2 linked regions of the Drosophila melanogaster genome follow. The protein of the gene in region 2 interacts with the protein of the main gene of each other region in a pairwise test. Each region holds a gene or a part of one and is shown on either strand. Other genes may lie near its edges. The genes, in order: CG10431 and CG13775.

Evidence for each region.
Region 1: the proteins of CG13775 (region 2) and CG10431 interact in a two-hybrid assay, tested with the Drosophila melanogaster proteins (one large-scale study listed by BioGRID).

Annotation. Positions count from the first base shown.
Region 1 is NT_033779.5:18,972,490-18,978,687, reverse strand, and holds CG10431 (uncharacterized protein), read right to left. Parts: upstream 3,979-6,198; 5' UTR 3,912-3,978; coding exon 3,841-3,911; intron 3,784-3,840; coding exon 1,566-3,783; 3' UTR 1,492-1,565; intron 1,426-1,491; 3' UTR 501-1,425; downstream 1-500. Other genes in the region: Swip-1 (Swiprosin-1), read left to right, coding at 1-333; L2HGDH (L-2-hydroxyglutarate dehydrogenase), read left to right, coding at 4,650-4,771, 5,229-6,086, 6,141-6,198.
Region 2 is NT_033779.5:6,953,857-6,958,994, forward strand, and holds CG13775 (uncharacterized protein), read right to left. Parts: upstream 3,095-5,138; 5' UTR 3,017-3,094; coding exon 2,762-3,016; intron 2,488-2,761; exon of another isoform or gene 2,452-2,487; intron 2,364-2,451; coding exon 1,401-2,363; intron 1,347-1,400; coding exon 729-1,346; 3' UTR 599-728; coding exon of another isoform or gene 537-598; 3' UTR 501-536; downstream 1-500. Other genes in the region: SA1 (stromalin 1), read left to right, coding at 1-471, 537-598; CG3430 (uncharacterized protein), read left to right, coding at 3,242-4,431, 4,490-4,733, 4,800-5,138.

The sequences.
Region 1 (6,198 bases), about 12 Mb from region 2:
CTGGGACTCAAGCAGATGATTGCCGAGGTGGACGAGGATAACGATGGCAAGATTTCATTCCGAGAGTTCTTGCTGATCTTCAGGAAGGCCCAGGCCGGGGAACTGGACTCCGATTCTGGGCTGAATCAGCTGGCCCGCCTCACGGAGGTCGATGTGGAGCAGGTGGGAGTGAGCGGAGCCAAGAACTTCTTCGAGGCGAAAATTGAGCAACAGCTGCGGACGAACAAGTTCCACGACGAGATTCGGGCGGAGCAGGAGGAGCGCCGGCGAGAGGAGGAGGAGCGGGCCCAGCGGCGTCAGCAGTTCCAGCAGCGGGCAGCGATCTTCCAGTAGAGGACTTAGGTTCGCCCTTAGTCTAGCGAGTAATTATCTGGCGTAGGTTAATCGAATGTGGAACTAATCCCGGGAGAAGAGGATACGCTTCGTACAAGCATTTTTCAAGCATCACATACTCTAATTATATTCATACTTATCGCCCCATACATATAAAAACTCGATTTGCTGGCAAAAACATCTTGGGAATTGAATGTTATCTTTGACTAATGTTTGTTTTGGATCTTTGAAGTACCCATCACAACTTATCAAGTAACAAAATATAACGTTCAATTTCTAATATATATTTTTTTAAAACCAACCAAACTGAGCCACTCTAGCCAGGGACATATGCATACATACGTACATTAATAACGATCATACCAAAAGCGTATTTATAGTTAACCTTTAGTTAAGTTTAAAATGTTTTAGATTAAGAACTACTTTATTGTTTGGTGTTGCGCAAAATTTCATTGTTGAATTACGTTTATCCTTGAGGGTTCTCCAAAATGTATGCTTTTTACTTTATGATTTTGTACTTTTAGTGCCATTTTTATGTTCTTCGTTTTAGTTTTGTTAAAAATAAAATTGATAGTTATATTAAGCAAATAAACTTGTGAAATTCAACCTTCTTTGTATATACTAATCCTATGTTGGCAGTCAATCTTAGTTTTTTGCTTGGATCAGCCTAAAGTAAAACAATAAGTTTCGATTCAGTATTTCACGTTTAAAGTTAGCGATTTAAGCAATACTAATGCGTTAAATACGAATACACAAGAAAATACACGTACTTTTAGAGAACGTTTACTACAAACTTATACTGCAATTTAAATAAATAAATGTATATAATACAAAATATTTAAGATCGCCTTTAGTTTTCCCCCTTTCAACCTTTTCAAAAATGTTGTTCCGATTTGCGAAACCTCGTTCCTGCTCAATGAAGCGTCGGTTTAATTAGGTTAAATTACTTATTGTAAGTAACCTTGACTAGCGCCAATTTCATTCCCGCTGCGAACCCTTCATCACCTTGCGTGCCGTACTGGAAGACCACCAACTAAGTACCCCATAGAGTGACTAGGCTTAATGCATTTAGTGCATCGAGATTCAGATCATCTGTGGAAAGAAAATTGTAGTGGCGTGTTATCGCACATTGTTTTTTAGAAAACAAATTGGTTTTACCTCCAAGATTATAGCATTTGCTTGAGTAAATACCATTTCCTTGTCCAATCGTGAGTCATCTCCAGGGCTTCCTGTTACTCCCCGGCAGCTGGACCTTTTCGCAGGGAATGCCTGCACCTCAGCATATCGCATTTCAGGGCGTAGCGATGCTGGCAAACCGGACACTCATGCGGCTTGAGCTGCAGGTGGTAGCCCTTAATGTGTTGAGACAATCCGTTGCGTCGCTTGAAGACCCGCTCACAGATGCCGCACTTGTGTTGCCGCTCCGTCGAGTGGGTGATGTTATGCTGGCGTAGTCCGTTGAGCGAACCGAATGATTTTTTACAAATATTACACTCAAATACTTGGGTGGGCGTAACTTTCTTTTTCGAATTCATTGCCGTCTGCACCTTAGTTTTGGATTTTTTGGGCCTGCAATTGAGTTCATGACGACGATACAGGCGCCAGTGGGCAAAGGCGATGGCCTGGCAGTGGCGACACTTGAAGCTCTGAAGGCGCCGATGGTTTTTGAGCGACAACGATTGACATATGTATCGCATATGCTGGCGAAGACCCAAGCGGGATCGAAAAAACTTTAGGCAACCAGAACAGCGTCCTGAAAAATTGGGTATTAACTTTACAAAGTGTGCTTTCTGACGACGGTGGTGGTGTAAGTTCTTAAACTTTGAAAATCCCTTCCTGCACATCCGGCACACATAGGTTTTTCTGTGCACCTTCCTTGGTGACTTCAGTTTTTTGCATTTCAGCTGCAACTTACGATACCTGTTAGCCAGTTTAGCGTAGCTAGCAGTCACTGCAACCAGTTGAGGATCAGGTGCGGGTGCTGACAGTTGAGTGGCTGTCGGTATAAGGTCTTTGTGATGCAGGAAACTACTCTGCATATCTAGTATATCAATCTTTTTCCTAGGTTGCTTGGATACAGGACTATTATGCCACTCCAACGGCCAGTATTCGGATTGTTCAGTGGCCACAAGACCTCTGTTGCTTTCCATTTTCATTGGAGGGTTCATGGTTAAGCTGGGAAGGCATATATTCATCGGAGGAACACTAACCATGGGAGTGGAATTACTGTGACTGTGTGCATAATGCTGATTTAAGCTATCTATTGTTATAAATTTGGCAGTGCACAAAGTGCAGTTGTGAAGCCGAAAAGCCGCTGAGGATTCGACCACACTATCGTTAAGTACCACGATGTTGGGTTTGATCGACGTGGGAGGAGCAGGCTGTGGCAGCAGCTCGCAGATCATTGGGTTAGGTATCTGGCTTACATTGGTCACAATGGGCTTGCATGAGCGCGGTTCGGGGGCCGAGGGAGGGTCTATATTATCCTGAAGAGGAGGGGGATCAGCAGGCGGAGGAGCTGCGTCTGGCGCAGCATCCGTTCCCTCCACCTTTTCCGTTTTGTACTGATGCGGGGGTAGTTGCCACTCCTCCTTCGCATAATTGTGCTCTTCGGTTAGGAGTTCGTTTTGCAGCATTTCATTAGCCGTTCTTCCAGGCTGTAGTCTCTCCGACTGTCCCACATCCGCATCGTCTGGAATATTGATAAACGGATCGTCCAGATTGATTATCTCCATGATATCACAATTGTTGATAATGTCTTGGGCATTTAGCATAGGGAACTCGCAGAACTGAAACTTTTGTTCAGTTTCTTCCTGATCGCAGCCATCGTCCTGCTCCAAACCCATGTCCAGTTCATCAGGAAAAAGATTGTCCAAGCTCTCGCAGGCCTCCTGTTTCACACGAACCAAGGGTTCCTGTTTGATTTTCAGTTGTCGGCGGTATTTTCTTTGCAATTCACTCTGCGCCAACATCACCACATCGATGAACTGGGAAAAGCGCTCCAATTGGAGGCAGCACTCCTGGCATATTTCCTTGGGCAAGGTGTCGTCCTGAAGAATCTGTAGCGTAGGAAAGCACTTCTGGATCATGCCAAAGAGCTCAAAACTCTTGTCAAACGAGGAGCAATTGATGGCCGAGGAACCACAAAAGCGGCAAGTGGCTTTAACACCTGTTGCTGCTGATTCGGCGGCACTAGAAAGAGTTTGCTTGTGCGTTGGCCTATTGCTTGGGGACACCTGTTCCAAGTGCCCACTCATGGAGTCATCTTCCGAAACCCTAATTGATGGCACAGCATTTTTCTTAAGCGTTTTCCGATTATTGCTGCAATTAAAGTCCTCATCACCAAAGTGCCGACTGCACAGCGCACTCCATTTTGAGGGCATCCACTGAGCACTCCTCTGGGTAAATTCCTTCCATTTCTGTAGAAGATCCTTCCGTTTGAATGGAAATCTTTGGGAGAATAGAAGCTATAGTGTAATCTTGTCAATTGAAAATCAACTCACTTACCTGTGAAATGAAATGCTGCCCGCGTGCACATACTTATGGCTGCAATTTATCACGGCGCAGTGGGCGGGCATCTTAAGGTATTTATGGTACAATAATTTGTAATAATTTGCAAATTTCTGTTGTTTACATCTGTGAGCTAGCTGTTGTTTGCTAAATCAGCTGGTTTTGTTTTGCTTCTGAAGTGTTCAGTGTTGGAAAATGCGTCTCACATATTGTTGATAGCGGTCTTTTTTCTTGCAGTTCTGAATTAATAACGAAACTTTATTCATTTGTGTTTGCTATCAAATACGACCAAATATAATGGGATTCCGTATCGAATAAAAGCAAATTTAGGGTTAAAATTATATGTTTGTTTCTTGTAAATACTTTTTAGTCGAGTAATCAGCATGATCGTATAACCTGAAATATTTAAAATGAAATAAAAATTTTAATATTGTTAGATTACAGAAAATTTGCAAAATGGCAGCTGGGCACATTAAATCTTATCAACAAACCGAACAGCTGACACACACGTCCTTACCCAACCACCCCCTTTCAAAAATAATCCGTCACACTTATCAATTAGCGCGTTTATGATCGCCCCTCGGCCCCACAAATCGCCCAGATGCTCGGCCCGTGAGCATATTTATTTTCTCTCGCCCCACGGAAAACTTCCACGGGCTTCAGTCTGTCGATTCGCTCGAAAGCGCGCTGTACGCACAAGTTGGCGGAGGAGAAGGCAAGGTCAAGCAAGGTCTTTCTTTTCGGGTTGGTAAATAATCTAAATTCTACGTGCGTGCGCGGGTGGTGAAAGCATAAAAGAAAGAGAAATGGCTCAGGTGCGACTGCTGGTACAGGGACTTCGGCGTAGCCTACTCAATGTGGGCGTGGCCGCGCCCAACGAATCCACAGCGACCCACAAAAGATCGCAGCACAGCTCGTCGAGCTGCGGGTAAGTCTCTTGAGATTACGATAGGGTTCTCTCATTTTCGGGGGTGTTCCGATCCTAAGAATCTTTTCACTGTTTGCAGAATATCATTTAGGTGTTCCAAATGAGCTAAGTAAGCTTCTTTTCATTTAGAATGCGCTTTTAAAATCATGTTTAGTTAAGCAATGTATATTCTATTTACTTTTGTATTCTTAATTGCATAGCATAGTCTTTTCACTGCAATCTGCAGCCTTTATCTTACTTATTAGTTCCCAAGATCTCGACGTTCTTGCGGTCTGACAGTCGATGAACATATTGATATGGCTAGATCGACTTGACTGATGATCCTAATCAAAAACGTGCCCGCACACTCTTTACTCTAACGGATATACAAACATCTTTCTAACTTTTAAAAACTTTAGAAGTCTTAAGTTTATTTAATTTTTGAGGCTGTTAGCTGATATGTTTTGTATTCCCTCAGAGATTATGATCTGGTTGTCGTTGGTGGTGGCATCGTCGGCGCCGCATCTGCCCGGGAGATTGTCCTGCGCCATCCATCCCTCAAAGTGGCTGTCCTGGAGAAGGAGTGCAAGCTGGCAAAGCACCAGAGCGGCCACAACTCCGGCGTCATCCATGCTGGCATCTACTATAAGCCTGGAACCCTGAAAGCCCGCCTTTGCGTGGAGGGCATGCATTTGGCCTACGCTTATCTGGATGAAAAAAAGATCCCGTACAAGAAAACCGGGAAGCTAATTGTGGCCACGGATGAGAAAGAAGTGAAGCTGCTGAAGGATTTGGAGAAGCGTGGCATTGCCAACAACGTACCGGATCTGCGAATGATCGAAGGCAGCGAGATTCAGGAGATCGAACCCTACTGCCAGGGAGTGATGGCGCTCCACAGTCCGCACACTGGTATCGTTGACTGGGGATTGGTTACCGAGCATTATGGTCAGGATTTCAAACAGTGCGGTGGTGATATCTACCTGGACTTCAATGTCAGCAAGTTTACCGAGACCAAGGAGGGCACCGACTACCCAGTGACCATCCATGGCGCTAAGCCCGGTCAAACGGTTCGTACCAAGAACGTATTAACCTGTGGCGGTTTGCAATCCGACCTGCTGGCTGAGAAGACTGGATGCCCCAGAGACCCCCGCATCGTGCCTTTCCGTGGAGAGTATCTGCTGCTGACCAAGGAAAAACAGCATATGGTCAAGGGTAATATTTATCCGGTGCCGGATCCACGTTTCCCCTTCCTGGGAGTTCACTTTACGCCGCGAATGGACGGATCTATCTGGCTGGGACCAAATGCCGTTCTGGCTCTGAAACGCGAAGGTTACACGTAAGTCTTCTTAGAGCTCATATTTAAACTTGTCTGACACTTCACTTCTTCCAGCTGGGGTGACATTAATCTTTTCGAGCTTTTCGACGCCCTGCGCTATCCGGGCTTCGTA
Region 2 (5,138 bases):
TCGCTATGACGCTCCTTTTGAGCCTGATCACAGTCTTTAAGAGTCTGCAGGAGCAGAGTGAGGATGGCATAGTTTCAAAGAGTTCGCAAGAGTTTGTGGACCTCAAGGAGTTGGCCAAGCGATTTGCGCTCACATTTGGTTTCGATGCCATCAAGAATCGCGAATCTGTGGCCGCCATTCATCGTGGTGGCATTTATTTCGCTGCGAACAAGGAGCCAGATGATCCGGTGCGGGCTCCAACTCGCTTGCTCTTCCTGGAGGTTTTGAACGAGTTCAACTACAAGCTACTGAAGCAAGACAAGAAGGTCATAATGAGCTTTCTGGACAAGATAATACCACCCGCAATGCCATCCAGCCGAGCTGAGGAATGGCAGCCGCTGATATTATATCGCAATTCCTTGCTACATGGCGAAACTGATCAAGCGCCCGTCGCCAGCAAACGAGCCTACACACGTAAACGTCGAGATCATGGTAAGAATTTCATAGCTTTCATTTTATTTAGAATCAACATTATGAAAAACATGTTTTTAATTTAGATGAAGAAGAGGAGGAGGAGGAAGACGAAGAGGAACACAATGATCCTGATTACAGGGGCTAGGACCCATCAGGCAATCAGCCATACACGCGGCTTAAGTGCAAAATCTAATTTTCCGGAAAATCAAGTAGTTGTAAGATTAAAGCTAATATTATGTACATAAATACGTTTAAATTATATAAATTACTGTATCCTAATTGATTTCCGAATTGCTAAAGCTAAAGTTGGCCTTCATGAGCAACATTTTGGATGCACTTTCGGGGCTCAAGCCCGCCTGCATGTCGAAATACAAGTGCGTTGATTTTCTAAATAAGCCTTCACTAACCACACTTGCTGCTGGTGCTGATAAGAATTTCCTAACAATGCCATACAAGGATATGTATTTTATGTTGCTCCTCCACCAAATCAGGGGATCCATGTTCCTATCGATTCTGGGTTCGGAGTTGTATAGATATAGCAGATTCTTAATCTGAGACTGGGAGCCCATTGACGTATTTGGCTGTTGAGTGTTCGTCGTTCCAGTTGTCAGTATGCTATCCAGAATGCTATCGATCTTTGATTCATTCTTCTGGGACGATGTGGATGACACTTTGATTATTTTCAGCGGTGGCTGACCATTGCAATCCTCTGGCACTCCAGCGAGCTGAAGCAGAACTTCATTGGCCACCAACTGCTCCTCACGTTCGGTGAAAAATGCTTGCTTATATCTCGGATCCAAATATGTGGCCATCAAAAAGTTGATGTCGCTAGTGATGTGGGCGAACTTCATTTCCAGTTCTTCAAGCAACTTTCTGGCGAAACTGCATATAGTCTAGACATTCGAAATATTAGACAATACTTTATGGTTTTATCTACTGCAACTTACCACAGATGAGACAAAGTTATGGACATCTGTTCGGAGGGAATCCCGTAAAGCGGCAACCAGCGGGATTACGGATGAGGTGGTCGTAGATGGATTGCTCCATATCTTGATTGTTTCTTCACAAGGCTGCATTACTTTGCTGCACAAATCGATCTCTATCCATTCATCTGGATATATTTGGACCAGACTATACTCTTCGCAGTACAAGGATAGAGCATCTTTCATTCGAAACACGCTGCTCATCATCTGAAAAGCGGAATTCCATTGACAGGGATCGTAAGGTGTAAGTGTGCACGGGTCTCGCGTCAAGCGGATCTCTTGAATGAATTTCAGATGATCGTTGGCCATCTTAGACGACGCAAAATGGTCAACTATTTGCTTGCACTTGGATGAAAGGTTCTGCAGTAATTCGTTCGATTGCAAAGCAAATCGAACGCACATCTGCAGGCGGTGCACACTGCAATCGGGCAGGGAACCTGGCAGCGCCGTCATCTCGTCCCTGATTACGCAGTGTATCTTCTCTTTGGGCACCTCAATGGCCAAGCTGGGCACAAGATCTCGAATGCAACAAGCTAGCTTCGAAGTGCTTTCGTAATTCAGAGCCTCGCATTTCAGCATTAGGCGGTGAGTCTGAAAATCCCTTGATATTCCGGAGCAGGACAAGCTCAGCAGTCCTTCGCCTTTGTCACCACGCCAGAGACTCGTAGACAACGATATGGCATCCAGCAGATCCACCTGTTGCTTCAAATGCTGATGCATTTTCCTTTGTATATCCTCGCACAGTATCTTCTCATAGTAGCTCCTTGGTTGAATCGTGTACCGCGGCTGCAGCGTCCTAATGAAATTTACGAATCCTGGTCCTTCAATGAACTCAAAGGAGTGATTTAGTAGCATGAGGGCCAACTTCTCATCACAGCGTTTGCTGTAGGATATATCCTCGGTGTCCAATGGATCTGAATCTGTTTCCTAAAATGATTAATAGAATAATTTAATGCATCAGATTAGTGAAAAACGCATAATTTATAAAAATATAATACTAAGACCATAACAGTACATTTTTAAAACCTCCTTAACTACACTTTATAAACACAACACATGTTTGCCGATCTAGCCAAACGCGGATAAAAATCCGCATCCGCTGTTGCTATATTAGTAAAAAGTTTTAAATAAGAGAAGGCATAAATTACTTTATGAACTACCAAAGAAACTATATTTGAATGGAAACTTAAGTTTGGGGAAACCATCTCCACATGACAGAATATCTAGAAGGGCATGTACCCCGATTTCACATAAGGTACACTTCTTGCACAGTACATATGCATGTACATAGGTATGTATGCACATCTATATGCTATCCCACTTACGTGCAGATTCAATTCTAGCTGGGCTGTGGGGTGCTGTGGCGAACCGATGGAGATCTCGCTCTTAACCAGGTCCAGGTACTTTATGTCCCCGGATAGAGATAGGAACTCCGGTGGGTGCTTGCTCTTCAGATGATTCCGCAGACATGTTGTGCCGCGTCCTCGCCTCGAGTAGTTCCTGTTGCACAGCAGACAGGTGGCCACTGTGCCGGATGTCTTGTAGAAGTACTGCCACACATTGCTTTTCTTCTTGCTCATCGCTGCAATTCTTTGGTAATTCTCAAATTGTACATTTTTTGCGGATGTCCACATCCGCCTCTACATCCGTTCTGCGGCAGAGTTCGACATCCCTGGCAGATATCGATAGGCCCATCGATGACCATCACTAATATGCTGCAATCAGTTTTTGGCGCGCCAAAGCAGCTGTTGTTTTTTGCATTCGAGGTTTTTGAGGCATTTGCAAATTCATTCGTTAACTAGATAATGCCCTGTGCGATGGAGCTGCCCAGCACGCCCGATGAACTGGCCGCCCAGCAAGCGGACAGCGCTGCACTCAAGGACTTGCTCAAGGATCCCAGTCGTTGGCACTCGATTCCCCTGCTCAACTACACGCCTCTTCACAAGCTGAAGGATCAGACTCTGGTGCGCTTTCGTGGAATGATCCAGGACATGATGGACCCAGAAATCTATCTGGAGCGCTACGAAGTGAAATCCGCCGACGGCAGCAAACGTGTACAGGAAGGAAAGTACAGGGACTGCTTGAAAATAGCCAATGGCGAAGTGATTGACTACAACGCCGATGGAAACGTGCATGGAGAGAGGCGTACCATGTTCGTGGTCTCTGTGCCTGGTCTGAACGATTGGAGCAAGGAGCATGAGAAGCTGTGCTGTCCCCAGATCGATTTGGCCAGTCTGGGTCAATCTCCCAGTTCAGCCAAGAAGCGGACTATTGTAGGCGAAGAAGAAGCCATGGATGTGGACGTTGCGAGCGAAACAACGTTCAAGCGACCCTGCCTAAAAGAGATTCAAAAAGATAGCGAGCCAGTCGGCGCCTCCAAATCCTCTGTTCTTGGGTCTGATTACCTGATTAACTCGCCTCTGCCGGATCGTCCCAGCATGGCATGCATGGTAAAGGTTTACGAGGAGTTCGATACCTACCAGCTTAACTCGCTGGTCGACTTTGTGGGCTTTCTGTCAGTGGATGCTTCACTAGACGCCGCTACCCTGGAAATAGACGATTGTGAAAACTTGAGTGAACTGCAGGCAGCTCATCCATCGCCATTTCTTATACCCCGCCTGCATGCCTTCGGAGTCCAGGTGCTGCCGCATGCCAATCCGCTGCTGGACAAAAGCCTTCGACAGCCAACGGAAATATGTGAGGAGACGTATCCAACCCACCTTGCTGTGCACAAAGATCTGCGCATGCTTCTTAAACTCTGCCTCTTTGATGACGATCTGGCTGCCGAGTATTTGCTCTCCCACCTAATATCTACGGTCTACAGTCGTTCTGAGATGCAGAGCATCGGCAAGTTCGCCCTTAACCTTTGTAATCTCCCTAAGAATTGTGAGGCGTATGCAACCAAGTTGTATCAAATTCTGGAGCTGCTACTGCCGGCCAGCCATTACATGCCCATGACTCTCGTCACACTAAACACGGCAGCCTTTGCCCCAAAGTAAGTTGGCTAAGCAGAAATAGTATAAAATTGAATACCTATTAATGAGTACTTGCAGGAAGGATTATGAGACAAACAAGCTGGTTTCCGGCGTACTACAGTTGGCTCCCCATACGCATTTGGTGCTCGACGAGACGTGCATGCAACAGGGCAAGCTGGAGGCCAATGGTGTTCATGCCGTTCAGCATTTAGCGCACTTGATCAATAATCAGGAACTGAAGTGCGACTTTCAGTATTACCAAATAGACTACCAAGCAAATATTCCAGTTCTCGTGCTCAGTGAAGGGCGAAGTATGTTGCCGGTAAGAATATAAGTTTATATAAATAATCATTATATCCAATAGAAACTATTAATGATATGTTTTCAGAGCGATTTTGTGCTGCCCATTAATGCCGATTCTAAGGCCGTGGAACTTGTTGATGAATCTCTAAAGGCAGCCCACCACTATCTGCAGCCATCACGTCTGCAGCAGTTTCGCAAGTACTTGACCACAGCGCGCACTAGCGGCTTCAACGTGAGCGAGGAGCACACTGAAATGATCCAGCAGGATTTCGTGGACATGCGTAAAGCTAATGTCAAAAGTAATGCCGATGATCTGCATGGATTGCTGGTCCTCTCACGGCTGCTGGGCATCGCCCGGGGGAAGGATACGTTGGACAAAGAAACATGGCAGCTGGCTACGGAGTTCGAAGCAAAGCGTCGCCAG